7 linked regions of the Sus scrofa genome follow. The protein of the gene in region 5 purifies or fractionates together with the protein of the main gene of each other region. This does not show direct contact. Links are inferred from orthologs where the notes say so. Each region holds a gene or a part of one and is shown on either strand. Other genes may lie near its edges.

Region 1 (3,500 bases), on a different chromosome or scaffold from region 5:
GGGTTGTCAGTGTCATGTCCCAGCCAGAGAAAAGACTAGTCCTTGCTGTGAAGGTTTAAGAAAAGGATACATTCTTCTACTTCTTCCCTCTTTGGTAGTGACAGTTATTTTAAAGCTTTTATCCACCTTTTAGGGACGACGGAGAATTGCTCGAGATGCAAATTCTATTAAAAAGGAAATTGAGGAAGAGAAAACAGAAGACAAATTAAAAGATAATGATACAGAAAATAAGGATGTAGATGATGACTGTGAAACTGCAGAGAAAAAAGAAAATGAGCTGCTACTGGGGAGAAAAAATACACCAAAGCAAAAGGAGAAGAAAATTAAAAAGCAGGAGGATTCTGACAAAGACTCAGAAGAAGAGGAAGAGAAAAGCCAAGAGAGGTACATTATCTTATATTTGTTCTCCAGAAGCACCTGTTTGGGGCACAGCAGTGCTCTGTTCCTGCTTAGAGATTCAGGTTTGAGGGAATGTTTTCTTCTTGGGACTTCCGTTCCTCTTGTCTAATGAAGGTGAGACACATTATGAAGATGATGTGTATTGCCTTATGGAATTGGAGAATATACTGGTCGCACCATTTTAATAGCACTTGTGCCCCAAACAGTGGCCTCAAAGAAGGCTGCGCCACCCAGTCAAAAGAAAGGTCCTGCAGTTGACAGCAGGGAAGGGAGCTGGAGAAAAATGGAGGAAGTGGACAAGAGGAAACAGCGACAGCAAAAATTCCATTTTAAAAAAGGTACAATGTGGGAAAGCTAACAAGCACATGGGTGCACAGTACTAGCAGATGTTTCTGTGTGTTAGCTTTATCTAAGATATTTTTCTTTTTCAAGTTACTGTATTAGAATAAGTGGCATGCACCCCTGATTCTAGTTTGGAAAATACATTCTTTCCCCACATCACAATTAAATTTTGGCTTTTTAATGTCCATCCTGTTTGCTGTTGAGTGAAAACTGATTGGTTTTGTTTTTTTTTTCTCCCATGTATTATACATGTATGGACTGAACTGACTTAAAAATAACCAAAGATTAGGCAGGCCAGCTAGATCAAAGTAATGTCCAACTGTGTTCAGTTGGCCATTTCTGTGTTGCCACATGGATTTACTAATTTTTAGAGACTACTAAAAAATGAATTTTAATTCACAACAACAGCATAACACACTTACTTGTATAGAAGCTCTCCTCTATGGTTATTTTTTGACTATTTGATGGTAAATTTTCTAGAAATTTGAGTTGTTAAAGCAAAATTGGGGAAAGTGGCCTGCTGCCTCCAACTAGTGGCTGACACTCATCTGAAAATTAACCATTGAGAACGTAATTGGAAAAATAGGAATGATTGGTGAGTGGGAGATGTAATTTTATGATTCATTACAGAAAGGTGCAGGAGCTATCACAATTACATGTGAATTAGATTAGTGAATAAAGAAAGTTTTGTAGTGAAATATGATTAGGATTAGGGAAGGTGGGAGGAAATAATTGGAGTTGAGTATAATAATATGAGTGTGGTATTTTAAATATTTGGACAATGAATTTATGCAAAGGTAAACCACTGAAAAAGGCCTAATTATAGTTTGAAGATTTGTTAAAAATAAGCATCACAATGTGTCTATTTTATAATATCTCTATAATACATAAAACATGTAATATACACATATAAACACATGATGTGGTTTAAAAAGCCTTAATATGGGAATTCCCATCGTGGCGCAGTGGTTAACAAATCCGACTAGGAACCATGAGGTTTCGGGTTCGATCCCTGGCCTTGCTCAGTGGGTTAGGGATCCAGCGTTGCCGTGAGCTGTGGTGTGTAGGTCACAGACGTGGCTCGGATCCCCTGATGCTATGGCTCTGGCATAGGCTGGAGGCTACAACTCCGATTCAACCCCTAGCCTGGGAACCTCCATATGTCGCAGGAGTGGCCCTAGAAAAGGCAAAAAGAAAAAAAAAAAAAAATCCTTAATATGTAAATAAAACAAGTATTTTAGAGACAAAAAAAGTCCTATACTTGACATTTCATTAAAAATTCCCATTTCTTTTTATTAAATAAAAATTGAATATACAAATATAGTCTGTATTTTCATTCAATAGCAGGAATCATGGAAATGGGAAACTTTTTTATCTTTAGAGATTTGTGATTTAAGTAGTTTCTTCTGGTGTTTTGAAATTACCTTATCAGGATATAATTGGAAGGTGCCCCTGGAAAGAAAACATTCCCACTGCTAATGGGTTGTTGAAATTTCTTCATGTTGGGACCCCCAGTGGTCCCTAAAGAATGCCCTATGCTTGTCATAGAGCACAGTACTTCCTCTTAAGCCTGTAAAACTCTAGAATGACCTTTGATGCAGATCTCTTCTGAATCCTTGCAGGGCTAATAAAGAATGTTTTATTTGTAAAAATACTGTTGGACCTCCCTGTGTGAGTCTCCTTTATACCTGATTATCAAAACATGGAAAAACTGATGGGAGACATGTAAAAACAAATGGAAACCAACAGGATATGCAAAGCTTTGTTCCCCTGGTGCTATTATCCCATGGTTCTTAACCAGTGACTAATATGCAAATAGCTATTGTTTCTTTGTTAGGATGGGGAAAACTTTAAAATATAAACTAGTTTAAAAGATGGAGTTAGCCCTTGCTCCCTATTTTGCCCAGCAAAAATCTAGTCTTAGTTGAAAACCATTCTGAATTGAGCAGAAAGTAAATAGTAAAGGAGATTTTAATTGCAGAAAGTTACAAACTATCTTTAGATCATTTTCACATATAAGGTGGCACTTGAGTATGAATCCTAAAAACTTTTACAAAGCATGTCATTCTTATTTTATAAAAAGTGATTTGACCCTGCATCACATTAACTGTGATTATTGACTGGCCTTTAAGAAATATGGATTGACTTTTGGCACAGTGCACCTTTACATAATAAATAAATTCTTTAGTAAGTAGTCTATAAAAATCTTCTCCTTCTCCTCCTTCTTCTCCTCCTCCACTGACATGTTATTAAGGTGACACTTAGGTTGTGACTCTTGTACATGTTGGATTCTTTTAGCATAGTTATATTCTTTTCCATTAAGTTATTAGTATTATTATCAATGTTATAATTTGCCGCAGGGAAGAAACTGAAAGCAAATGTGACTCTGAAGGGGAGGAAGATGAGGAAGACACAGAACCCTGCCTAACAGGAACCAAAGTGAAAGTAAAATATGGACGAGGAAAAACACAGAAAATCTATGAAGCCAGTATTAAAAGCACTGAAATTGACGATGGAGAAGTTTTATATTTGGTACATTACTATGGATGGAACGTCAGGTAAGCAGGAAATGTCTTTTCTTTTTTGAAATTTCTTTCGTTGATTCAAAAAGATCAGTTTACTCTTTTGACGAACTAAATCAAACAGTATATATGTATTTATAAAGCACCCCTTCTATCTGGGTTTTCCAAGATGTCTAACATTCTCACTGTTTTACTAGCTATGTCAGTTCTTTCAGCCAGAGGTTACCAGGTTCACAT
Region 2 (4,089 bases), about 18 Mb from region 5:
AGTAAGGAGTGGGGTTACTTTGGACAAACCATTAAACATCTCTGGGCCCTTCTATCGCTTTTCTTGCTACACCCAAATAGACAAGAGACATCCTTAATTTTTTCACTAAGCAAGTGTCTCCTACTCAGAGGTAATCAGATAAACTGATTCATGCAGATATTCAACGCGCTTGTTTTCTAAATTACCAGCAAGCACCTTCCTGTCTTAGCCTAATTAACTTTCTGCAGGCAAATACTCCACTTGCTCAACTGAGAGTTGAGTTAGCAAATTATTGCATTGGGGAAAGCTACCTTTTAAAAAAAATTCATATTCTAAGAAATATGAGGCAGCTGTACTGTAGAGGGCCTGGGTCTGAGAGTTAGACACAAGGTAGCCTTGTACAATACCATTTTTTGTTTTTAAGACAAGAGGTAGCTCTTTTCTCATCTGTAAAATCAGGAGAACATCGTAGTGAACCAACCTGTACAAACAGAAGGGATGCCCATTGACTGGGAAAATACTGGGTTTTGCTGACCCCAGGATGGAATACTAACATCTTTTTAAATTTTATTTTATTTTTTTTTGCTTTTTAGGGCCACACCCTCAGCATATGGTGGTTCCCAAGATAGCGGTTGAATCAGAGTTACAGCTGCTGACCTATGGCACAACTCGGGATGAAAACTGCATCTGCGGCCTACACCACAGCAATACAGGATCCTTAACCCACGGAGCGAGGCCAGGAATCGAACGCACAACTTCACGGTTCTCTAGTCGGATTCGCATTCGTTTCCGCTGCGCCCCAAGGGGAATTTAGTATCTTCTTTATTTAAGTTCTTAGTAAAGCTCCAATTAGACAGGCGAGGAGCCAGGCTCTTTTTCTTGGGTTGAGCACGCAAACTCTGTTAAGGTTTCCTGGATGGTTCATGTTGTTCACCTGTTTAAATTTGAGACCACCTCCACCTGCAAAGAGCCCTTTAGTCTCTGCTTTCCAAAGTCCCTAAAGATCACCTCTTTAGATTTGGCTCCAGGCGCCGCCTGGCGGCTATTTCCGGAAGTGGCCGCTGAGCTTCGGGGTCCTAGCCGCGGTGGGGCCTGGCCAAGGATTTGCCTAACCCCAGAGAGCCTGTCTCCGCCCCTCCCCCCACCCGTGGAGGATTTTTAAGACGGCAATGAAGGAGATGGGGCTAAGGCGAAGGGGATGTTCATCTGCCTTTCCATTCCCTCTAGGATGGCGGAATCAGGCGGTCCTCGGGCAGGTCGCGACCCGGAAGTCGCCGCTGGCGCGAGGCCCCCGTTGCCCGGAGCAGGCGCGAGGGGCGGAGTTTGGCGAAGACAGCGAAGGGGTCGCCGCGGCTCCCGCTCTACGGGTCGGCGGCTCCCTCGGGCGCTGCTGGGCAGACGTGGAGTCCGCAGGGCGGGTGACCGCGGTCCCCAGCTGGCACGCTCGACTGCGGGTAGAGTCGACATGAGTGCTGCGGGACTGCTGGCTCCAGCCCCGGCTGGAGCGCCGCCGGCTCCGGAGTACTACCCTGAGGAGGACGAAGAGCTGGAGAGCGCCGAGGACGACGAGCGCAGCTGCCGGGGCCGCGAGTCCGACGAAGGTAGGACCCAGCCCGTTGGATGGGCTACCCAGGGCCGGGGTGGGCGGCAGTGCGAGGGGGTGGGGCTGCCCGGGGGGGGCGGGGCCACCTCTGGGGCTTGGGGGCGCCTGTAGGGGCAGCTGGGAGGAGAGCGGGTCCCGGAAGTTACTGCGACAGGTCCCAGGGAAGGGGAAGCTTTGAGGACTTGTATATACAGTTTTGCCGAGAAGGGCCGTAAGGAACTGTTGTCAGAGTTGTAGGCCCCTTTAAGATTCTGCTCCTCTTCTCCCAACTGTCTCTGAACCTTAGGTCTAAACTGGTTTTAAGGACAAAGTCATTGATTGGATGAACTGAGTGTACTCTTTTTAGTTCCTGAGAGGATCAGAGTAAAGCCCAGTTTGGCTTCCTTGGTTCCCAGGGTGCACCCCCCTCCCCTCCCCGCTGCCGCCGTCCGGAAATGCCTAAGTCAGCCCTTCTTGGGTTAGTGCGGTACAGGTGGGTTCAGAGAAGGAAACCTGGAATCAGCCAGATCGAATTAGGTCTAAATTTGGCTCACTGAACCCAGCGTAGTGATATTAGACAATTTACTTAGGCTTCTGAGCTTCAGTTTCCCCAACTGCAATGGGGCTGACTTCCTGGTGCGATTATTAAATGAGATACAGGCATAGAGCACTTGACCTAGTCCTGGGTAAATACTCAGGTGTCTTCACCATTGGGGAAACCCGTACAGGGGGCAGGAGATAGAGATTTGCTTGGTGATGGCTCAGGTGGTGTTTTCAGTTCCAAACTCTTTACCTTAGTTTTACTGACTCTCAGAGCCTGGCTTTTCAAACTGGGCTTTATAGTTTGGCATGTGTGAGGAACACTTTTTGAGGAGTTGAGGAAGGAGTTGGCTGCAGTAGGAGAAAGGGGAAGAAACATAAAAGGACAAGAGAGAAGAAAGAAAGATAAAGAGAGACCAACATGTGGGTGAAATATTCTGGCACAAAATAGGCCTTGGAGCAAAAGCTTAGACCAGCTGTCTGGAATCTGGAGCATGTTTTATTCATCTCTCTTCCCCAAGTGCCAAGTACTGTGGCTGGTGCACATCAGCTCAGTGATGGCTTCTTCACTGTAGGGAGAGAAAAGGGTAGGTGGAGGATTGGATCTGCAACAGCCTTTTTAAAAAAAGGCAACTGTATGTGGAGATACAAAGTTGAAGGAATTAATTACAATGTGGTTAAACTAAGAAGACAAGGTTTTACTAGAGATTTTGGCTGTGAATCACTTGTACTGTTTTTAATGCCCACAAGGTGGAGTAGCCAGGCAAAATTTGATCCCTTACCCTCCCACCCCAAGTAGGGCTTTTGAAATTATGTCGACACTCCAGCCATTTGCTTATTATAAAAATAATGTTTAGAGTATTCTGAAGCAGTGTCTGATCTTCTTATCTCATTCCTTCTCTCTTTGAAAATATTTTGGTTATTGGAGTTCATTTAGTTGGTTCCCATTTTCCTTTGTACATATGATGTAAAATCTTCTAGGGGTTCAGACTGGGCATATACCAGTAGAGAATGTACATAGTAGGTTGTTTTGGAGTAGAGCACACGGCTTGCTGCCTGTAGTTTTCCAGTCTTAATACCACATCTCCTTTTCCTGAACTGCCAGTGATGTTTCTGCCCAAGGAGCAGCCTTGACCATGACCAGCTGTGTCTGATGCCCCCTGTTTTCTGGCTGAACTTCAGATAAAGGCATCCTCTTTAAATTTGGCTGTGTATAAGTTGGAAATGGCGTTTTTTTCTGAAGTAACTGGATGTAATGTTTTTCACTGATGTCTTCATCCAGGCCTGCATTGAGAAGAAACTCATTTTATAGAAGTTTATGAAATGTCTCTTGTCAGGTGATACCAACTCTATGAATTATGATTGTAACAAACTTTTCTTCTATAATTTTACTTAGACACTGAGGATGCTAGTGAAACTGACCTGGCAAAGCATGATGAGGAAGACTATGTAGAAATGAAGGAACAGTGAGTATGATATTTACATTTCTTCTTTGGAACACAGGATTGACAAGGACACTTTTTTTTTGTTTTTTAAGTTTTAATTTTAATTTTTATTTATTTTATTTTTTTTTTGGCCATTTCTTGGGCCGCTCCCTCGGCATATGGAGGTTCCCAGGCTTGGCGTCAAATCGGAGCTGTAGCCACCAACCTACACCAGAGCCACAGCAACGCCGAGCAAGGCCAGGGATCGAACCCGCAACCTCATGGTTCCTAGTCGGATTTGTTAACCACTGAGCCACAACGGGAACTCCTAATTTTCATTTTTTTAAATTGAAATATAGTTGAGTTAAATGTTGTATTAACAGGGCCTCTTTAATAGTGACCTTGTGTGAACTGTTGTCACATAGTGTTTCCAGAGACCATGTGTATGTGTGTAGTTTCTCCCCTTGAAATTTGTCGCATTTAATCAGTCTTCCTGTGATAAGAATCTTTTGAAGGTAGGCTAGAAAGAACCTGGGAGGGAAATGATCCCAGGGGTAACAGGAG
Region 3 (3,500 bases), on a different chromosome or scaffold from region 5:
CTCTCCTCTGGCCCCTGCATTGAGTCTCCTTTGCTGGCTCTGCCTCCTCTCCCTCCTCAAAATGGTGCACTGCCCCAGGGCTCAGTTCACAACTGCTAGTTTCTTATCAGCGCTCATTCCTCAGGTGAGCTTATCCAGGCTCATGGATTTAAACATAATTCATAAATACAAGGACAACTTCCCAATTTCTATTTGCAACTTAATTTTCTTCCAAAAGCTAGGCTCACAGATCCAACTGCCTACCTGATGTGTCCATCTGAGGTCTAACAGAGGCCTCCCACTCACCACAGCAAAAACCAACTCCTAACCTCTCCCTATACAACAGAGTCCCTGCACCCTCTCCTGTCTCAGCAAGCGGCACCTCTATGTTTCCAGTTACTACGACCAAAACCTTTATCGTTGCCTCTGACGCCAGTCTCTCACTTACAACATCCAATCTTTGAAGAAGTCCTCTCCGTTCCACACCAACAGTCTATCTAGACTGTCACCACTTCATACCACGTGACTGCTACCCTGGTTGAAACCTTCACTGCCTCCTGAAATTAATGCACCAGCCTCTGAACATGTCCCCCTAAGGTGACCCTTGTTCCCACAGTCTTTCCCCACAGGGCAGCGACTGGTCTGTTATAACTGAGCTCAACTCCCTTCTCTGCTCAGAACCCGTCTAATAGCTCCCCACCGCCCTTAGCAAAGTCAAAGTCCTTACAGAGGTCCAAGGCTCTCACAATCCTGACCTGTTTCTCCCACTGCCCTTACTCACTCAGCTCATCTAACACTGCCTCTTTGCTATTCTTTGAGCACGCGAGGCATGTTCCTATCTTTGGCTTTTACATTTACTGCTCTCTTGGTCTGAACTGCTTTTTATCTATATATCCTCGTGGCCAGCATTTCATCTCTTTAATGTCTCTACTCAGAGACCATTTCCTCAAGTAAGGCCTTCCCTTTAAAACACTTTTAAAAATCACAGCTCTAGCCCTAATTTTCCCTTATACTTTGTCCCTGCTTTATTTTACTGTCTATTGTCCTTGCTATAATGTAAGCTCTAAGAGGATGGCGACGTGCTTGTTTTGAACAAGCTTGTATCGTGCATGTCTGGTGCCACGCCCTTCACAGTGTGAGGAATGACTACTGCCAGCCTCCTGGTACAGAAGGGTAAGAGGAACTATCCAGAACAATGAGAGAGATGGACAGCAAGATCGAGACTATTTTATTTCCCCTCCAGGGTTTATGCACGTCTTTCAACGGAATTGCTGAGGCTAAACATGGGTACCACGGAAGGGTACTTCATGGTATGATTAATGACAATAAATAAGGAAATAAATACATAGCAGGTTTCCTTTTCAGGGCTGCACTTGTGGTACATGGAAGTTCCCAGGCTAGGGATCAAACTGGAGCTGCACCTGCCGGTCTACACCACAGCCACAACAACACGGGATCCAAGCAACGTGGGAAACCTTGTGGATACTAGCTGGATTCTTAACCCACTGAGCCACAATGGGAACTCGTTTTTTCTTCTTTTTTTCTGTGGCAGGTTTAACAGCTGTAGACATAGCATGGCCACACCTCTTAACTAAAAGGACAGCAAGAGATGGGGGCCGTCATGCCAAAATGGTAAGAGGGTGATATGTGGTAACTACAGCACCAAGTTACTTACTTTCCACTTTGGTTTTGTCTGTGTTTCATCAGTATCATACACTGAATGTTACATTCATAGTCAGGAAAAATTAAGATTCCATAATAAATTGTTAAAAAAACAGAAAACAAAACAAATGAAAAGAAAACCTCCAAAGTGACCTGCCTTTTACAAACTAAAAGTTTAGAGCTAGGAAGAAAGAAAAGGGGTAATGGTAGTTAAATCTTAGTTTTAAGATTTAACTAATCACAAATAAGTTTAGAACTATTTTCAACAATACAAATTTTACTTTATTGCACATACATGGCAACAAAAATTGTCAGGGGATAAATTGTAAATTACTTACCCCTCTGCTATAATCACATTGTGATCCCTTTTTACATGGCAGTATTTTCTTTTCCTTTTTCTTTTTTTTGTCTTTTTAGGGCCATGCCTGCGGCATATGAAGGTTCCCAGGCTAGGGGTCTAGTCGGAGCTGCAGCTGCTGGCCTACACCACAGTCATATAGCAATGCCAGATCTGAGCTGTGTCTGCAACCTACACCACAGCTCACGGCAATGCTGGATCCTTAACCCACTGAGTGAGGCCAGGGATCAAACCCACAACCTCATGGTTCCTAGTCAGATTCGTTTCTGCTGTGCCGCAACGGGAACTCCAACATGGCAACATTTTCTTAATGAGTACAAGAGGCTATGCGTAAAGATATTCTTAGGGAAATAATAATCTTTTTCATGATTTTGGTAAGAAAATTAATTATAAAAGGGCAGCAAAATGGTTTTAGTTTTCAAAAGGCACTTTATGCTTCTTCTATTTATTAAAAACTAATAAAATACAAGTATAAAATGGGCATCAAGGAGTCAGGCTTCCTGCCTGAGGGTCACACAAGAGTTTGGACTCAGGAGATTTAGAGAATGGGGAAGAAGCAATTGCCAATTAAGAGTATTCTGATAATGAACTTACCGGAAACCGGTCTCATGATGTCCATTGGTTCCACTTCTTCTTTAACTTTTATTTCAGGAACAGGAGGGCCCAAAACGGAGGAGAGACTGCCACCTACTGCTGCTGATGGTGGAGGGGCAGCTGCAATGGTAGTGATGGGTGGAGTGATGGGAACTGCTCCAGGAATGGTTGGAAGGGCGACGGCTGGTTGTGATGGGGGGCTAGCTGCTGTAATCATGGTTGGAATGGTTGGTGGAGGCTGCTGGGCGGTGGGTGGGACTGCGATGGTGGGCTGATCAGTATTTTGATTGGATATGGTCTCCATTGACACAGTGACTGGAGTGGCCATAGATACATGGATTTCTGACTTGGGTTTGGCACTGAAATACAAAAGCAAAGATGATGTAGAAAGCAAGAACAAACTTTGGAGCATCACAGAAAATTAGTTATTTGTGCAATTGTTTTTGTACAACAAACAGCACAACTAAAACTCTATTCCTTGATTTAACTAAATTAAATAATTAATTTATTTTTTGCTTTTTAGGGCCACACCTGTGGCATACAGAGGTTCCCAGGTTAGGGGTCGAACTTGGAGCTGCAGCTGCCAGCCTATGCCACAGCCACAGCAATGTGGGATCTGAGCCGCGTCTGTGACCTACACCACAGCTCATGGAAATGCCAGATCCTTAACCCATTAAGCAAGGCCAGGGATCGAACCCACAACCTCATGGTTCCTAGTTGGCTTCATTTCCGCTGCACCACAATGGGAACTCCATAATCCTTGATTTTAAAAATGAACTTAAAGGTAACTTTGAAAAGGAATTCAAGTTTTAAAATTATCTCCACCTTGGAGTTCCTGTTGTGGTGCAGTGAAAACAAATCTGACCAGGAACCATGAGGATGGGGGTTCAATCCCTGGCCTCACCCA
Region 4 (4,136 bases), on a different chromosome or scaffold from region 5:
TTACACCAGTGGTTCTCAACGCAGTAATTTTGCCCGCAGGAGACACTTGGCTATGTCTGGAGACATTTTTAGCTGTCTTGACTGGGTGGGGATCTAGTGGGTGGAGGCCAGGGACACTGCTAAACACTCCATGATGCCCTGGACAACACCCCCACAGCAAAGTGTTATGCCTTACACGGCAACAGGGTCGAGGAGAGAAAAAGACAATGGTTACCTTAGAAAAGTAAAGCTCAAACAGGCTTTTTCTCAGGGAGTCTGGTGAGCTCAAGCAAGGAGGGACTGCAGAGACAGAAGAGGCAGCAAGCTGTCATTTAAGAAAGAAGGGACCAAAGCCACAAGCCTGAGCTCAGTCAATGATCCTGTCAGCAGGTAAATGAAGCACAGCAACAAAAATGGCTAGTCACACATGCACCTCTGCTGCTTTTATTTTGTGGGTGGCACTGAGGGTGATCAGAAGGGGCCACAGGCCCAAGTACAAGTGAGGCCTGCCTAAGGCACTCAGAGGAAGAACCTCCAACCAAGACTTCAGTGACTGTGGACACAATTATCTTGACTGGACATAAAACTGTGTTAGAAGAATGCCTCCCTGGCACGCACAAACACATCCACTCCTGATTTAAATCTGCCAAAAGGATCAATTTGGGATGCAGAGCCTGCCTGGGTAGGTGTTTTGATCTATTTTGATTTGCGTTAGAAGCATTTCAGGAAAAAGACCAGATCTTCACCACCTTTCTAGCAATGAAGTACACGAGACACGCTGCCCGGCCTGCGTACCAGGGTGGGCTGTGCTAAGGTCAGATCATTCAAACCACGGCAGCCGCATACCTGGCTCGACAGAGGCGACTGTATGTTTAACTTGCCATTCTTGGGAATGTCTATTCTGTAGCCGAGAGGAAGGAAAGCGTTGAATCCGACAATGAGGTCAGGGTGTTCGTGGAATAGCTGTGACACTCGCCGGATGACTCCTGGAGTATCGATACTAGAACAAAGAAGAACAAGAGTGGGCAGAGGCGTCCTGGGGAGCAGATTAAAAGAGAAATCTACTCGTGACTCCCTTAACCGTGCCATGTCACAAGCTTCTCAACGGACAAAGAACCAACCACCCTAAAATGTGACTGGAGTGATTCTGCTGGTGGTGATCCGCTGCTAAGGCAGCCAGGCCTGGGCTCCCAGTGCCTTCCTGGCAAAATCCACAGAATATGTACACAGCACGGCTCCCAAAACACTGCAAGCACATGTGCTAGGTTCTGAAAATGTCAGGAGAGCCAATTTTAAATTGTGGGCTCCAAGAAGTGACATGTCAAAACCCTCTAAAGGGGAGATAAATTCCTCCATTTCGCATGAATTAGAGATGGACTATGACACTGGAGTTGTTCCCAGCAACTGACTATAATGCAAAGGCCATGCAAGTATGGAAGTGGCATAAGAATCGGAGGGCAGAGATGGGGTCTCCCTCAGGGCTGCAGTCAGGGCCAAGGCTTTAGCCTTGTGCCTGTGGAAGGCAACCAGGTGGGCCCTACCCTGTTTCCTTAGAGGGAGAAGCAGCACGGAGGGGATGTGACACTGGCGAATCTAAGTCAGACAGAACCAGTTCTGGTCCCGCCTCTGCCCCTAAGGTGGGTCTGGACAACCCCTTGACCCACTCTAAGCCTCAATGAGCATCCTTTCCAACAAGAGCACCATCGGGAGGGAGGTCTCCCATCTATCTCTAACCCTCCTGATTCAGTGCCTGTGAAAACAGCTAACATGTTTTAAATGCCTTCTTAGTGCCAGATTCCTTACTAAGCATTTTGTGCGCATTACTTCAAGTAGGCCTGGGACTGGAGTGAAGGGAGTGAGGAACTCACCTTGGGGATAAGATTTAAGAGGGACACAGTGCCAATACGGTCGATAACCAAAATTAATAACATTTTCATGCACTGCTTGATCAAAAGATAAAAATTAACTTTTAAAAAGCCTCGAAAAATGAAATTCACTTAAAAATCAACATTTTGAGTAAAGACGGGATCCTACCCTGTGTTTGCTCACTTGCCTCACCCCATCCCTGCCCTCGGTCCAGGAATCCCCACAACAGGGCCACGGCGGGGCGGGTGAAGGGGGGGGGGTCCCTCCCGGGGGGTCCCTCCCGTCCCAGTTTTTTTTTTTTTTTAAGAAGGAACTGAGGATCCGCTAAGTTCTGACCACCTGGGCAAGGTCACCCCGTCATGGGGCAGCCAGGGTAAGGGGCTCCCACCCAGCTCAGGCTGACTGCGGCCCAGGACGGTCCCCTGGGGTGGGCAGGGGCCCGGCAGGTACCTCTGGCTTTTGAATTCCTTCATGATCTCCAGGAAGCCGTTGTAAGTGGCAGGGTCGCTGCCGAAACGGATCTTCACCTGGTCCAGGTAGGTGAGGGCGTCCTCCACCTGCGGGGAGGGGAAAGTCCAGGTGGGCCGCGGTCTGCGGAGGAGGGGGCGGGGGACCCTGGCGGGAGGGGCAACCGGCTGGGCCTCAAGGAGCGGAGGTGGGGAGTCGGGGGTCTGGGGCTGCGCGGAGAGGAGGCCGAGGCGGGGCCGGGGCCGGGCGGGGCTTGGGTGGGGGGCGCCGGCCTGCGGGAACTGGACGACGGGGTGCTCGAGGGAGAGCTGGGGCGCCACTCACGTGCACTGGCAGCTTCTCATGGCCCGCAGAGCCCGAGCGACCCCAGCGGGCCCCGCTCAGCCCCCGGCCCGCTGGGCCGCCGCCGCCGCCACCGCCAGCGTGCGCCATGTTGGAAGTCGGAGCCACAGCCCGCCCCGCCCCCGCCCGGGGGCCGGCCGCGCATGCGCTGGCTCCGCCCTGAAGGCGGGGCTCTTTCAAGGACTCTGCGGTAGGATCTTACCCCATAAAACTGAAACGCGACTGTCCTGACATATACCACTGTGAGCAAACCAAAACCTGCCGCCTGCTTCTGTCTGGCCCCCAAAGCAAGATCGGAATAATTTTTACAATTTTAAAAGTTGGAAGAAAAATCCAAGGGAGAAGACTATTCCGTGACACGTGAAAATTCTATGAAATTTAAATTTCAGTGTCTGCAAAAATAAAGTTTTATTGGAACATAGGCATGCCCACTTGTTTACCTGTCATCTCTGGCTAATTTTGCAGTACAACAGCGGGGTGAATAACTGCGACAGACGCTAAGATCTACACAGCCTGATATATAATAAAATGTTCTTGACTCGTACTTGTAGGGTTGATGTGACAACCTGGTATGGGCACACAGCACCCTAGTTCAGGGCCACGGGGTTTGCCAAATTGCTCTTGACTTAGTCCTGTTCCTCCTCTCTTCGCTTCTCTAGTCCTGACCCCATGACTTCCCCACTGGAGCCTTTGGTTCCTGACCCTATCACTTCCCCACTGGACCCTCCCACTGGTTCGGGAGCCTCTTAACCAGTTTTTCCAGCCCCAGTGCTATCAAGAACTATCATTCCATAGCTGCTTCCAAACCTCCAAGGTCTTCCTATTTCTTTTTCTTTTTTTGTCTTTTGTCTTTTTAGGGCCGCACCCGCAGCATAGGGAGGTTCCCAGGCTAGGGGTCTAATTGGAGCTGCAGCTGCTGGCCTACGCCAGAGTCACAGCAATGCCAGATCCAAGCCGCGTCTGTGACCTACACCACAGCTCATGGCAACACCAGCTCCTTACCCACTGAGCAAGGCTAGGGATCAAACCCACAACCTCATGTTCGGATTCATTAACCACTGAGCCACAATGGGAACTCCAGTATCTTTTTTTTCAATGTGTGAAGAGGTGCAGGAAAGCTGAGAATACATTGGCAACAAGTGCATCATTTGCCAGGGGTCAGGAGTAGAAGGGTGAACAAAACCGACCAGGCTTTTACACTCACAGAGCCATCAGCCTTTCAAGAGGATTGGAATCAAATAATCACATACATAGATGTAAAGCTCACTTGTAACAAATACTTCAGAGAGAACATACAAATATAATAGTTATTGGGAATTCCTGTCATGGCACAGTGGAAATGAATCCAACTAGGAACCATGAGGTTTTGGGTTCGATCCCTGGCCTCACTCAGTGGGTTAAGGATCTGGCATTGCTGTGAGCTGTGGTGTAGGTCACAGATGCAGCTTGGATCTTGAGTTGCTAAGGCTGTGGTGTAGGTT
Region 5 (4,286 bases):
ATATGCCACAGGTGAGGCTGTAATAAAAATTAAAAAATAATTTTAAAAAAATTTAGAACTTATAAGACAAAAAAGCTATGAGAGTTGTTAATTTAACTGGCTAAATTTGTTTTCAATTTTCAGACTGTTCAAATGCTTGAAATATTATTATTATTTTGTCTTTTTGATTTTTTTTCTGGGACCGCTCCCACAGCATATGGAGGTTCCCAGACTAGGGGTCTATTCAAAGCTGTAGCCGCCGGCCTACGCCAGAGCCACAGCAATGCAGGATCTGAGCTGCCTCTGTGACCTACACCACAGCTCACAGCATCGCCAGATCCTTAACCCACTGAGCAAGGCCAGGGATGGAACGTGCAACCTCATGGTTCCTAGCCAGATTCACTAACCACTGAGCCACAATGGTAAGTCCTTGAAGTATTTTTAAAAATCTGTTCATTTTTAAAATAAAATTTTTCAGAGTGGAGTACTTAAGCTTTATATTTAACATACAAAACTTTCATCTACCTCTGGAGTATCAATATCTTGAACAGGTGAATCTCCTCCATCATCATCACTCCCTTTTCTCTTTCTTCTGTTTCGAACGCTCTGAATTAAGTTTTTATGATAATCACAAATGTAAAGATGTCTTGCCTGAAACAGAAAAGTTTCAGAGACTACTTATGATGGCCGTAAAATGTGTCTACGTGTTGGCAAAATGCATAATTCACAGTGAATTATCAAAAATAAAAACAACAGCCCAAAGAGGCCACTGTTAAGATAATCTGAACTGTTTTTTTCTACTCTTTTAAGTCCTGCACCCAGTTAAAACATACCACCCATACCATGGTCTGGTAATATTGTTAAAAGGACTGGGAGTGGAGCGGGAGTGGGAGACGTGGGGGGGAGAGGGGTGCCTGTAAGGTTAAGAGAGATGCAAAGGAAAGAGAAATGTCAACCCTCATGATTCTGTCATCAAACAGTAGCCATGGTATACTAGATTAGTGAGGTCATGCTGTTTTTTTTAACAATGGAAAATTGATATTGTTCACAATGTTGCTATTTGATAATATTTCTCTACTTAAAAATCGTTAATACCGTAACTATGCTTCCTAATTTTTCTAATTTAATACATTATCATCCAGATACAAACTACACATTTTTACAAATAAGCTACTGATTTCATACCCTAGATAAATTTATTTTTTTCTAGATAAATTTAAATCATAAATTTTTCTGAGTATTAAGTAAATGCACTTGTCTGTGATACGTTTTTCCAACCAAAGCAATGTGAAATTACACAAGTATACCTGAAAAGGTTCTCATGAACACGACTAAGGAACTGTTAGAACACGCAGAAAATATCCCAAATAAACTTTTCAAAAAAGACTTTATTACATTGTCCTGAGAGCTGTATAGTAACATCTGAAATACTGGGTGTCGTACATTAACAGTTACTCCTTAAAAAAATAATTGAAAGCAGAACTAATAGGCTTTCAAATTAACCTCTGAGCTAAGTGCAAGTTAAAAATATGCAGGACGTGTGCTAGTTCTGACGTCTTGTTATTTATACTGCCGGCTCAAGCTCCGAAAAGTGGAAATGGTTGTTTATAAAAACCTCATAGGTGGTCAAAAGAACAGATCCGCACAAGGACGAAAAAAGAAACCCTGATGGCTGCCAAACCGAGGGTAAAACCGCGGAGGCTGCGTGCTCCGCATGTCGATAGCAGCGGCCCTAGATGCTGACACTGAGCGCCCGGCTCCCGGCGCGGGGGACGAGGAACTGGATCTCCTCGCCCGCGGCGTCAGTCCTGGCAGGACTCCACTTTCCCTAGACCGGGAGCTACTCCCCGGGGCCAGCCGCCAGTTCGGGCAGCCGAACAAAGACACCTGGTTCCAGAAGGAGCTACCGGGCTATGGGAAAACTACTCTGGGCCTCAGCGCAGCTGCCCTCTTTGTTCCGCTCCCCTACCTCGGCGGGGGAGGAGGGGAGCGGGTCCGCCGCGCAAGTGTGCCGCTCGGGCTGCCGTCCCGGCTGAAGCACTTTGTTGTTTGCTTCCTACTAAGGATCCCGGAACCGGCTCGCGCTGCGCCCTTCTGGGCCCCTGCACCCCTACCCGCCTGGCGTCGGCTCCGCTCCCGAGAGCCCAGAGGGTGGGCAGGGCAAGCCAGGCCAGGCCGTCCCGCCGCCACTTACGCTCTTATCCAGCTCGATCTTCACCTTCTTCTGAGAGATGCTCTTCTGGATCCTCTTGCTGAAGCTGGCGTTGCCCGCCGCCCGGCTGCACCGCTCGCCGTCCTCCCGCAAACAACACAGCTGCCCGGGGCCCGGCCCGGCCGCCCCCGGGGGCCCCGCAACCGAAACCGCCCCGGCGCCGGGCACCTCAGCTCCAGAGCCCGCTCCGGCCCCGTTCCCTGCAGAGGCGGCGGCCGCGGCGGCGGCCGCGACCACGGCAGCCACCGCAGCGGCTGCGTCCCCGCCGCGGCTTATGTCCTCTGGCGTGAAGCCGTTCATGTCCCCGAGCTGGCGGCGCCGCGCTGACAGAAGCCCCAGCTCGCCGCGCTGCTTGCCTCTCGGGAGACGCCGGGGTCTCAGCGGTCCCTCAGACACCTGCGCGGCGGCAGCTATTCACTCTGAGCCCGAGCCCTCCGCCCAAAACCAGAGGTCCCTGGCCTGCCGCTGTCTGCTGGCGCCGGGACAGGGCACAAGGTGTGTGGTTGGGAACCGCGGTCGGGCGTCGTTTGGAGCTAGGACACCCCTCTCTGTCACATGGAGACTCCTCAGCAGTTGGACCGTGGCGCCTCCGCCTCCGCCTCTCTTCAGTCCTCGACTTGCGCAAGCGCTTTGTGCCCTCGCCCAGCCCGAACCCGTCCACTCTGCCGCAGGGCACCACGGGAATTGTAGTTCCCCTTCCGGGAGTTAACCCGAGCTCCAATATGACCCAGTGCTTCGCGGTTTAGGGAGACTACTCACCCCAGCATACATCGCGCGGAGGCGGGCCGGCTTTTTTGTGTGTAAAGCACAGGGAAAACAAGGACTTGTGGTTGGGGGTTGCTGTGTTTTCTGGCTTCTGGTCTGTCCCGGGAAGTTAGGCTGTGTTTAGCTCCCAGGATTTTGCAGAGCTGGCATTCTAGAGGAAGAGGTCACTCAACTCCGGAGGCGTAGCACAAAACGTAGGGGCCGTGGGTGGGAGGGGAGGGAAGTGAGCCTGTGGGAAAAAGTTTTGGGGCCGTTTTCGTATCACTGGTAAAAGTTTTTGCCGTGATACCGTTTTTGTGGGAAACCCAAACCAAGGAAGATGGGCGCCCTGGCGTTTTCCGGGCCCTCCAGGTCCCGCAGCTAACACCAAGGGATCTGGAGGGCATCTCCACCAACTGACGCCCCAAATTGTCCATTAGGGCGCCTGCCTGAGGTGGGGAACGCTGGTCCCGACCCCCGTGACCCCGCCTCTCCGCGCGCTCGGCCGCATCGCTAATGCCTGGCTAGAGGCCGCTGCCAAATCCTCGCATTGTCCCTGCGAGGGACGTGCACTCTGTCCGCTGCCTCCAGAGGTGGAGCTGCTGACGTGTGGACTTAACGGGGCAGCTTTCTTTTCCGGGGAACCGGGAGCTGGTCTAACCGTTCCTGAGGCTGCCGGCACTCGCCCTGCCCCAAGGGCATGGGGTGGGAGGGGCCGCATCTTCCGTGAGCACGCGTGTGTATGCGTGCGTGTGGACGCGTGTCTGTGGAGGTCGGGGTGGAGGGATGGGAGAGGCTGGTACGAAAGCTGCACCTTTGCTGGTTGCACCGCTTCATTATTTGTCAGTATGTATATCCTGTTTAACAATTACATTGTTTAAACAAAAATAGAAAGCGATTAGGTTTTTTGAAAGTTCTTTTATATTTACGGAGTGAACTTATTTATAGATGGTTATTTAAAATGTAAAGTGTCATCTGCACTGAAATTCAAAGCCATCCAGTCCATCTGTGCACTTCTGTCCTAGGGTAAAGAAAGGAAGAAAAAATAAATAAATGGAGTGGGTAAAAGAAAGATACTGAGTGGTGTTAGCTTTTCCAGCTGCACTGTCCAGTAGGGTGTCCGCTTGCCTTATGTGTATATTGAGCACTTGTGTTTTTTGTGAATGAAAAACTGAATTGTTAATTTTACCTCATTTAAATATTTAATACTGATTTCAGTAATCAGAGAATTATTAAATAGGAACAACTTGGATAAGAATCTTTTTTTTCTTAAAAATTTTGTGAAATCTGAATTTAGCATCTCAACTGAGATGTGTGGTAAGTGAAAACTAGAAGCAGGATTTCAAAGACT
Region 6 (3,371 bases), on a different chromosome or scaffold from region 5:
TTTCATATGAAATGTCTAGAACAGGTACATCTAGAGACAGAAAGTAGATCAGAGGTGGCCAGGGGCTGGTGAAAGGAGAAGCCTGGGGGCCAAGAGGTAAAGGGCACACTTTCTTTACAAGGGGACAAAAATGTTCTAAAACAGACTTGTGATGGCTGTCCAACTCTATGAACTACTAAAAACCACGGCAGTGTTTACTCTAAAAACAGTTCGTTGTATGTCCTGCCAAATATTCATCAATAAAGGTATTACTAAAGTAAAAAAAAACTGCAGCACTATGTTAACACGAAATACGCTGGTGTGTCTTTGCCACAATCCAGTGCTGCAGGGCATGGGAACAGCGGACAGGAGCAGAGGCTCCCCGATGGGCACAGTGCGCCGGCTTTAGCAAGCCTCTTCTGCGAGCAGGGCTCACCCTCGACAGCCTTCTTTACAAGTGGTGGGCAAAGCCCAAGTGTACAAAGCGAATTCGTACTGGTCTAAGAGCTAAGTACGCGGAACAGAGGAACAAGCGATTCTGCCAAACGACTGGCAACGCTTCCCAGAAAAGGGACTTCAAGTGTACAACGAAGGACTGAGACAGAAGGACAGGACAGGACAGATACCACCTCGTAAACCTTCAAAGGGCTGAGGAGATGCCAAAATAATTTAATTAGGAACAGGTGAAAGATCGGGGAAGCATTCATTTTTCTGAGCAAGGAACTTACAAGTCAGGTCATACCGTTTTTTCACACTGTGAGAAAGTGTTAAGTCCTGCTAACAGCATCAAAGCCCCGCCCCACTAAACCCTCAGAAACATTATTACTGAGAACCAGGGAGAAATTACTATACACTATTTGCCAGGAGCCTAAATTCTTCTCACTGAAATATTGGTAAAAATCCACTGGGCTCTATTTACTATTTTTAATAAACGCCAAAACCCTATCACGATAACCTCTAGCGCTTCCAATTTGAAATCATCTTTAAGAGGTGAAATTTGAGGTTTTTGACTCATTTTCCAGAGATGCGAAACAATGATAAACAGGCCAATGTCCACATGACATTTCATCTTGTATGAGGAAAGCCAGTACACACCAGGAGTTCTGGAGGCCCATCTTCTGCGTCTTCTGCCGACTGTTCTTCTCCAATTTTGCTATTAAGAAAGAACATGCCTTCGTTACTGAAGTTCTTATAGCAGGAGTATTTGCAAAGCCAGCATCAGCCCAGACATCACATCTTATTCTTTCTTTATTTTTGCTTTTTAGGGCCGCACCCACAGCATGTGGAGGTTCCCAGACTGGGAGTTGAACTGGAGCTGTAGCCACTGGCCTGCAACACGGGATCTGAGCCACTTCTGCGACCTCCACCACAGCTCATAGCAACACCGGATCCTTAACCCACTGAGCGAGGCCAGGGATCGAACCTACATCCTCATGGATATGAGGTGGGTTCATTAGCACTGAGCCGCAATGGGAACTCCTTGTTTTAGGTTTCTAATTTTACTACTAAAATTGTTTTCAAATGAAAAAGAATATACTGAAATGCTTGTTTTAAAGATTCTCTACATTTCCCAGCATCTATCATGGCCATAAGAACATGGAACATTGGCTGTTTAGAATTTTTACATACAAACATTTTCTCCTCAGTGTCTCTGTTCCGTACACTGAAGAGGGGGCCTCCTGTCTCGATAATGAAGGCAATCTGGACTAAAAACTTAGTCCATGTCAAAGCAAAGTCAAAGCAACACAGGTAGGAATGAAGTTACTTTCGGCATTTTCATGATGTGAACTTGAGATAAGAACATCTTGGGGGAATGTACGGAACTGTGCAACATCATCTATGGCTCTAAAGGCTAAAAAAACCCCAAAGGCGTCTGAAATTCTTAGAATAGCAACTCTGTAGTCAGGGAATTGAGAGTTGGGACCACGGTGAGTCCCCAAAAGAACATGACCTCTCTGGCAGCATGGGCTGTGCTGGCGTCCCAGTTCATCCTCAGCACTTACACAACCCACAGCCCGGGTTCATCCCTGAGAAAACAGTCAACGAAAGCACAGAACAGCAAACGGGAGAAAAACGGAGACCAGTGCTGCAGGTGGACGTGAGATCCAATGAAACAGGAGGCGCCGACGCCTTTACGCTTTCTTTCCACAGCAAGCGGGTTGTGAAACCCAACATACGGATGTCACACCCCCCGCCACCCCGTACCCCAACGTCAGGCCTGAGTAGGCACAGAGACACAAAACTCACGTTGGCATACATTTATTTTACAGACCAATGCTGATTCGCTTCTATTTTATGGAACAAAGACTCTTCAGGAAGGCACTTAAAATTACTTTTAGACTTATTAATGGGGTTAGCAAATTGCTCTGCTAGTTTATGAATTATTACATAACCTGCCAGATTAGCATATTTATGCAATTTCTTGTCACGAGATTCTGAGTTACCTTAAATCCCACACGTTCAGACGGCGATCAGTACCACTTGAAGCCAGAATAGTTTCATTATGTGGAGACCAGTGGACCTGCAAGTTTACATTTGCAAATGTAAAGACTCATCCATTCCAAAGTTGGTGGATTTTGTTCTAATCCTGGGTATGTTCCCATTTCGTGCACGGTAGCCTCGCCTTGGCCTACAGGCCCTCACCCTCCTTGTCCTATCCTTTCAGGCACTCAAAGTGGCCCATCTCTCCAAAACACAGGGAAACTCAGCTAAGGGTCCAACACACTTATTCGGCCCCAAAACCACCCCAGAAGCTTCAAAATCTTTCAATGAAGTGAAAATCTCAATTTTCAACCATATACAAGGTATTTTTTCACTAGAGAACCCACTATGCTGACATACCTTCAAGGAAGAATTCTTGGATTTCATTTTTTCAATGGATCCTGTTTTGCAAGATTTTTCTTCTACCTCTGAACTAATAGTTTCTAAAAAACCTCCACATTATTTCCCATTTATATAGTGGAAGAGGAGCTTAAAAAATAAAACACCGTGTTCTATGCTGACCGTATAAAAGGAGAAATCTTTTTTAATTTCCCTCTACCAAAAAGTTATGAAAATCTGACACAAACACCAGAAAACTGTCACTTACCTGGAAAATTTCATCTTTATGAGATTCGAAGGTATGGAGTTTCAATTTTAAATTACGCAGGTCCCATAAAGCTACAGTCTGAAGAACAATAAAAAGGAATTCGTTTCTTCACGTTACGTAAGAAAGTTCAGGTGTTACAGGACAAGACAAGGGCGTTCATAAAATACCAAGTATGCAAAAATTGAGAAACCTTATCCGCAGAGCCAGTGGCGAGAATGAACTCGCTGTAGGGATTGAACGACAGGCAATTGACCTCGGCGGTGTGTGCATCCACCAGGTGGCTCGGCTTGGAGGTGGTATTGGA
Region 7 (4,106 bases), on a different chromosome or scaffold from region 5:
ACCCACTGAACGAGGCCAGGGAGTGAACCCACATCCTCATGGAGACTCGTCAGGTTTGTTACTGCTGAGCCACAATGGGAACTCCTGGGCCCAAACTTCTGATCCGGGCTTCCAAGGCCCTGCACAGACTGGACTTGAATCACCGGTCCAGCTCCTTCACCCCACCATCTGCTGGCCAGTTCTCAAATATACCACGCACTTCCCCACCAGCCCTAACGCCCACGGCGCTATTCTTTCTTTCTTTTTTTCTTTTTTTGGTCTTTTTAGAGCCATATTCGCAGCATATGGAGATTCCCAGGCCAGGGGTCCAATTGGAGCTGTAGACGTTGGCCTACACCACAGCTACAGCAACGCCAGATCCAAGCTGCGTCTGCGACCTACACCACAGCTCACGGCAATGCTGGATCCTTAACCCACTGAGCGAGACCAGGGATTGAACCCGAAACCTCATGGTTCCCAGTCAGATTCCTTTCTGCTGCGCCACGACGGGAACTCCTGTGCTATTCTTCTGCCTACACCGCCCTCCACTTCTCTTCCTGAGAACACTCTACGATGCTTGTGTTCTCACTGGGCTCAAATCCTATCTCCTGCTTCCTTCATGATCTCATGTCCTCAGTGCTGCCCTCTCCCTTATGCATCTTCAACTCTCGCTCCTGACAGCTCCTCCCAGAGAACGTCAGACGTGCTCAGGTATCTACCACCAGAGAGAGAAAGCAGAAACACAAAACCTCACCCCACCCCACTGCTCGCCGTTTTCCACCTCATGGCTACTTTTCAAGGCCTTGTGGACACTTGCTATTCCTACTCGCCCACCTCCCACTTGTTCTGTTCCTGTATCATCACTCTCAGCTGAAGCCCATCCTGTAGAGTTAACTGACGAACTCCTCGTACCTAATGCCAGTATTTTTTGGTGCTTATCTTAGGTTGACTTCTCAGCAAACTGAACAGTCTTAAGCATTCCTTCTTTTAGTCACTCATTTAATATTTACTGAAGATCTAATACATGCTAGGTAGCAGCAGACACTATGGTAGGAGCTGGGCACAGGTGCGACAGTCTCTGACCTCAAGGAGTTTACAAGTTCCTGGGACAGAAAGGCTAAGAAACAGACTGTTGCTGTGGGGTGAGAAGAGTTAAGACCAGGGGCTTACGGGAGAGGCATCTAACTGGGACCTGGAGCCTGCTGCAGCAGTGAGGGCCTGCAGAGGAAGATGGGCCAGACAGATGAGCTGAGCTGGTCAAGAGAGGGTGCATTCTAAGTAGAGTGAGTAGCAGGTGCAAACACCCCAAGAGGAGAGAAGGGGGCAGGGCTGGGGGTCCATGGGTCTAAGCCTCACAGAGAAATGTGGGCTGCAGAGATCTGGTCATCACATCGTGAGTTCTTCAGGCCTTGGGAGAGGGTGCAACCAGCAAGGCAGAATGTGTGGAGTGAGAAGGAGTTCATGATGGAACTTCTAGGGTCATCAAAGGGGCAGATGACAAGATGCCAGGAAAGGAGAAGGAAATTAGCAAGAGACAGAGGAGGAAAAAGTCAGAGTATAGGGGGAGAGAGAGAATTTCAGAATGAAGGAGATGAGACAGTGCCAAATGCTGCCAAAAGATCGCCCAAGAGGAAGACTAAACAGTCTCAATAGATCATTTCTGACTAAAGGGGTTTCTACTTCACCGGATGTTTTCCTCTGGGTACTTTGTAGTCCTTCAGATCCGCGTAGATGCCCCTCCTTATTTATTTCCACGTCTGTTGCCCATCCTCATGCCTGTCTGTGAGCCTCCCCAGGGCAGGGCTGCACACGCGCTTTACCCACCCCGCGCAGTACTGACTCACTAGACCACTGGAGGATTTGCGAATGCAAATTAAACAAAACACATTTTTGCAGGGCAGGAAATGGCTTTCTTAGTAGCCCCTGGTCCCTACAGTGGTAGCAAACCCAAAGTGTTTTGTCACCTTTCCTTGACATCAGTTTGAGTAAACTGACTGGCCTAGAGGGCCGTTTCAAAGCATTCCTCAAGGATTTCACAAATGATCTGAACCTGAGCTGAAAACCTCGGTTCTCCAAATCAGCCTCCTCTTTCCCTTTTTCAAGCCTCAGTTCCTGGAGTTCCCAAACTTTGCAATTTCTCTTCACTGTTAAATATATTTTAACAACTCGGGGTAAGTCCCACCTTTCTGGACCAGAGAGGGCGGGGCTTGGGGGGAGGTCTCTCTCCACCAGTCTCTGGGTCTACTGAGAGAGCCAAATTAAATCACATCCTCCCCACTTTAGCCCGGGTACAAAATGAGGATAACCATCACTACTCTGGGTGTTGTAAAGATGGCAAGAGGTAAGGGATCGAAAAGCAAACTATAAGGTGCTGTGCACATGCAATTTATCTTTTCAGAAAGCGAGCATGTCAAGGGCACGCCTCGTAGGAAGGAAGATTCTTCCCCACCCTCGAAGAAGCCGACCCAGTCCCTCCACGGCGCACCCAGAGCCTCGCGCCCCGCTCCATCTCCGTACGCGGCGGAGCGGGCGGGAGAGTCACTGGCTCCTCGGTCCCGCGGCCCCAGCTCGCGTCCGGGCGGTTAAGTCTCGCTACCGCCCTGGATATTGGGCAGGCTCCGACTGCCTGTCCGAAAGGGCAAACCAGGCGCCAGGGTTGGCGTTACGCACCCGTAGGTAGTGGCGCTTCCAGCCTCACGTCTTAGATTCCCCAAGAGGTGCCGGAGGTTATCGGTACTGGCTGCCGCTGTGGGGGTCCCGGAAGCGCCGCACCGGTCCCTCTTCTCCGGGGGCGGGGCCTACCCGCGCTTTCCGCATGCGTCATCAGGAGGCGCCCATCGGAGTGCTCACAATTGGATAGCTGGGGCGAGGCATGCTGGGATACCGCGGGACGGTTTCCATGGCAACGGACCGACATTCACACAGGCTTTCAGCATGCAGGAAAGGCCCTTGTGCCTTCCTAGCTTTGCAGCCCTCGCGTCTGGGTCCACAGTCACCTCCCGGCGGCGCGAAAGGGGAGAACCTGCGACCCGCGGCCCCCACCCCCGCCCGGTTCCGGAGAGTAATGGAGCCAGCTGTAGGTGTGAACACTCATTTATTTACACATTGTAGTCGGTAGGCAAATCACCCAGCCCAGGCTATTCAAGGGTACAGATCTCAGACGCACAGAACCTGCAGATCCTTCCCTTCTCTAGAGCCCCCGGGACGGAGGCCTAAGACACCAGGAAGTTTCGGCTTCTGCCCAAAAGCTAAGAACTAAATTCAACGCCTTCATCTGATTTCTTTCCAAAAAGCCCATTTTGTTAACTACTCAGACTTCTCAGCTCTGCCCCCATTCATACTTTTTGCTCTCCTACTGCTCACCCACCCAAGATTGTTAATAATAATAACAATAATAATAACAACAATAATAATACTGTAATAATATTAATAATACTTCACATTTGTACGAAGCTTACAGAATGTTTTCACATATAGCATCTCATCTGAGCCTCCCAGCAGTTCTGTGAGGTAGGTATTCTCACCTCCCTTTTACAGACGGGGTAACTGAGGCTCAGAGAGAGAACGGGATTTGCTCAAGGCCACACAGCTAGTTAGTGGTTAAGCTAGGACTTGATCCCAGCACCCCATATTCAAGTCCAGTGTTCAAACACCACAGCTACCACTGTAAAGTGGAGTGACGTTTCTTACCCCAGTCAGGCCTGAGGGGCGGCCTAAGGAGGGAGGAGGCTGAGACTTCTCAGACTAGGGGAAGGAAGGGCTCAGCAGTGACGTGGGGAGTCGGGGTACTTGGCCTTCAACTCCTGCTTGAACTGACGGTAAAGGATCTTATTGTGCTGATTTTCGGCCTCCTTTTGGGGGTGGAATTTCAAAGCTTCTTTGAAGCCTTTATGAACCAGGAAACCTTCGTTCAGCACCTCAAAATCGAATCCTGCCACGTGCAACTCACAAGCCTGTGGAGGGAGAAATAGGTCAGCAAAGTTTGATGAGGTTCCCAGGCCAGAGACGGACATCACTGCTCACTCCAGCATGCCCATTCCTCTGGAGGCATCCTGGATCTTTCAGCCATCCAGCCACCTCCTAAACTATGATCCCTCCTGCCTCACTGGCTCCTTTCCATCCAGGGC

The links.
Region 1: the proteins of SAP30 (region 5) and ARID4A purify together in Homo sapiens (affinity purification with mass spectrometry; 5 studies listed by BioGRID and IntAct, with this or other methods). This does not show direct contact. The link is inferred for Sus scrofa from reciprocal best matches to the Homo sapiens genes SAP30 and ARID4A.
Region 2: the proteins of SAP30 (region 5) and SUDS3 purify together in Homo sapiens (affinity purification with mass spectrometry; 4 studies listed by BioGRID and IntAct, with this or other methods). This does not show direct contact. The link is inferred for Sus scrofa from reciprocal best matches to the Homo sapiens genes SAP30 and SUDS3.
Region 3: the proteins of SAP30 (region 5) and SAP130 purify together in Homo sapiens (affinity purification with mass spectrometry; 4 studies listed by BioGRID and IntAct, with this or other methods). This does not show direct contact. The link is inferred for Sus scrofa from reciprocal best matches to the Homo sapiens genes SAP30 and SAP130.
Region 4: the proteins of SAP30 (region 5) and SIN3B purify together in Homo sapiens (affinity purification with mass spectrometry; 4 studies listed by BioGRID and IntAct, with this or other methods). This does not show direct contact. The link is inferred for Sus scrofa from reciprocal best matches to the Homo sapiens genes SAP30 and SIN3B.
Region 6: the proteins of SAP30 (region 5) and RBBP7 purify together in Homo sapiens (affinity purification with mass spectrometry; 10 studies listed by BioGRID and IntAct, counting the BioPlex papers as one, with this or other methods). This does not show direct contact. The link is inferred for Sus scrofa from reciprocal best matches to the Homo sapiens genes SAP30 and RBBP7.
Region 7: the proteins of SAP30 (region 5) and BRMS1 purify together in Homo sapiens (affinity purification with mass spectrometry; 3 studies listed by BioGRID and IntAct, with this or other methods). This does not show direct contact. The link is inferred for Sus scrofa from reciprocal best matches to the Homo sapiens genes SAP30 and BRMS1.

What each region holds. Positions count from the first base shown.
Region 1 is NC_010443.5:187,430,354-187,433,853, forward strand, and holds part of ARID4A (AT-rich interactive domain-containing protein 4A), read left to right. Parts: intron 1-133; coding exon 134-384; intron 385-3,101; coding exon 3,102-3,299; intron 3,300-3,500.
Region 2 is NC_010456.5:34,314,277-34,318,365, reverse strand, and holds the start of SUDS3 (sin3 histone deacetylase corepressor complex component SDS3), read left to right. Parts: upstream 1-1,289; 5' UTR 1,290-1,444; coding exon 1,445-1,580; intron 1,581-3,497; coding exon 3,498-3,567; intron 3,568-4,089.
Region 3 is NC_010457.5:59,386,810-59,390,309, reverse strand, and holds part of SAP130 (histone deacetylase complex subunit SAP130), read right to left. Parts: intron 2,953-3,500; coding exon 2,594-2,952; intron 1-2,593. UniProt on the Homo sapiens protein: Acts as a transcriptional repressor. May function in the assembly and/or enzymatic activity of the mSin3A corepressor complex or in mediating interactions between the complex and other regulatory complexes.
Region 4 is NC_010444.4:60,788,861-60,792,996, forward strand, and holds the start of SIN3B (paired amphipathic helix protein Sin3b), read right to left. Parts: upstream 2,801-4,136; 5' UTR 2,746-2,800; coding exon 2,638-2,745; intron 2,403-2,637; coding exon 2,296-2,402; intron 980-2,295; coding exon 826-979; intron 280-825; exon of another isoform or gene 215-279; intron 1-214.
Region 5 is NC_010456.5:16,679,133-16,683,418, forward strand, and holds the start of SAP30 (histone deacetylase complex subunit SAP30), read right to left. Parts: upstream 2,801-4,286; 5' UTR 2,492-2,800; coding exon 2,174-2,491; intron 631-2,173; coding exon 505-630; intron 1-504. UniProt on the Homo sapiens protein: Involved in the functional recruitment of the Sin3-histone deacetylase complex (HDAC) to a specific subset of N-CoR corepressor complexes. Capable of transcription repression by N-CoR.
Region 6 is NC_010461.5:13,296,150-13,299,520, forward strand, and holds part of RBBP7 (histone-binding protein RBBP7), read right to left. Parts: coding exon 3,258-3,371; intron 3,146-3,257; coding exon 3,068-3,145; intron 2,501-3,067; coding exon 2,424-2,500; intron 1,133-2,423; coding exon 1,075-1,132; intron 1-1,074. UniProt on the Homo sapiens protein: Core histone-binding subunit that may target chromatin remodeling factors, histone acetyltransferases and histone deacetylases to their histone substrates in a manner that is regulated by nucleosomal DNA.
Region 7 is NC_010444.4:6,044,771-6,048,876, reverse strand, and holds the start of BRMS1 (breast cancer metastasis-suppressor 1), read right to left. Parts: upstream 2,801-4,106; 5' UTR 2,650-2,800; intron 1-2,649. UniProt on the Homo sapiens protein: Transcriptional repressor. Down-regulates transcription activation by NF-kappa-B by promoting the deacetylation of RELA at 'Lys-310'. Promotes HDAC1 binding to promoter regions.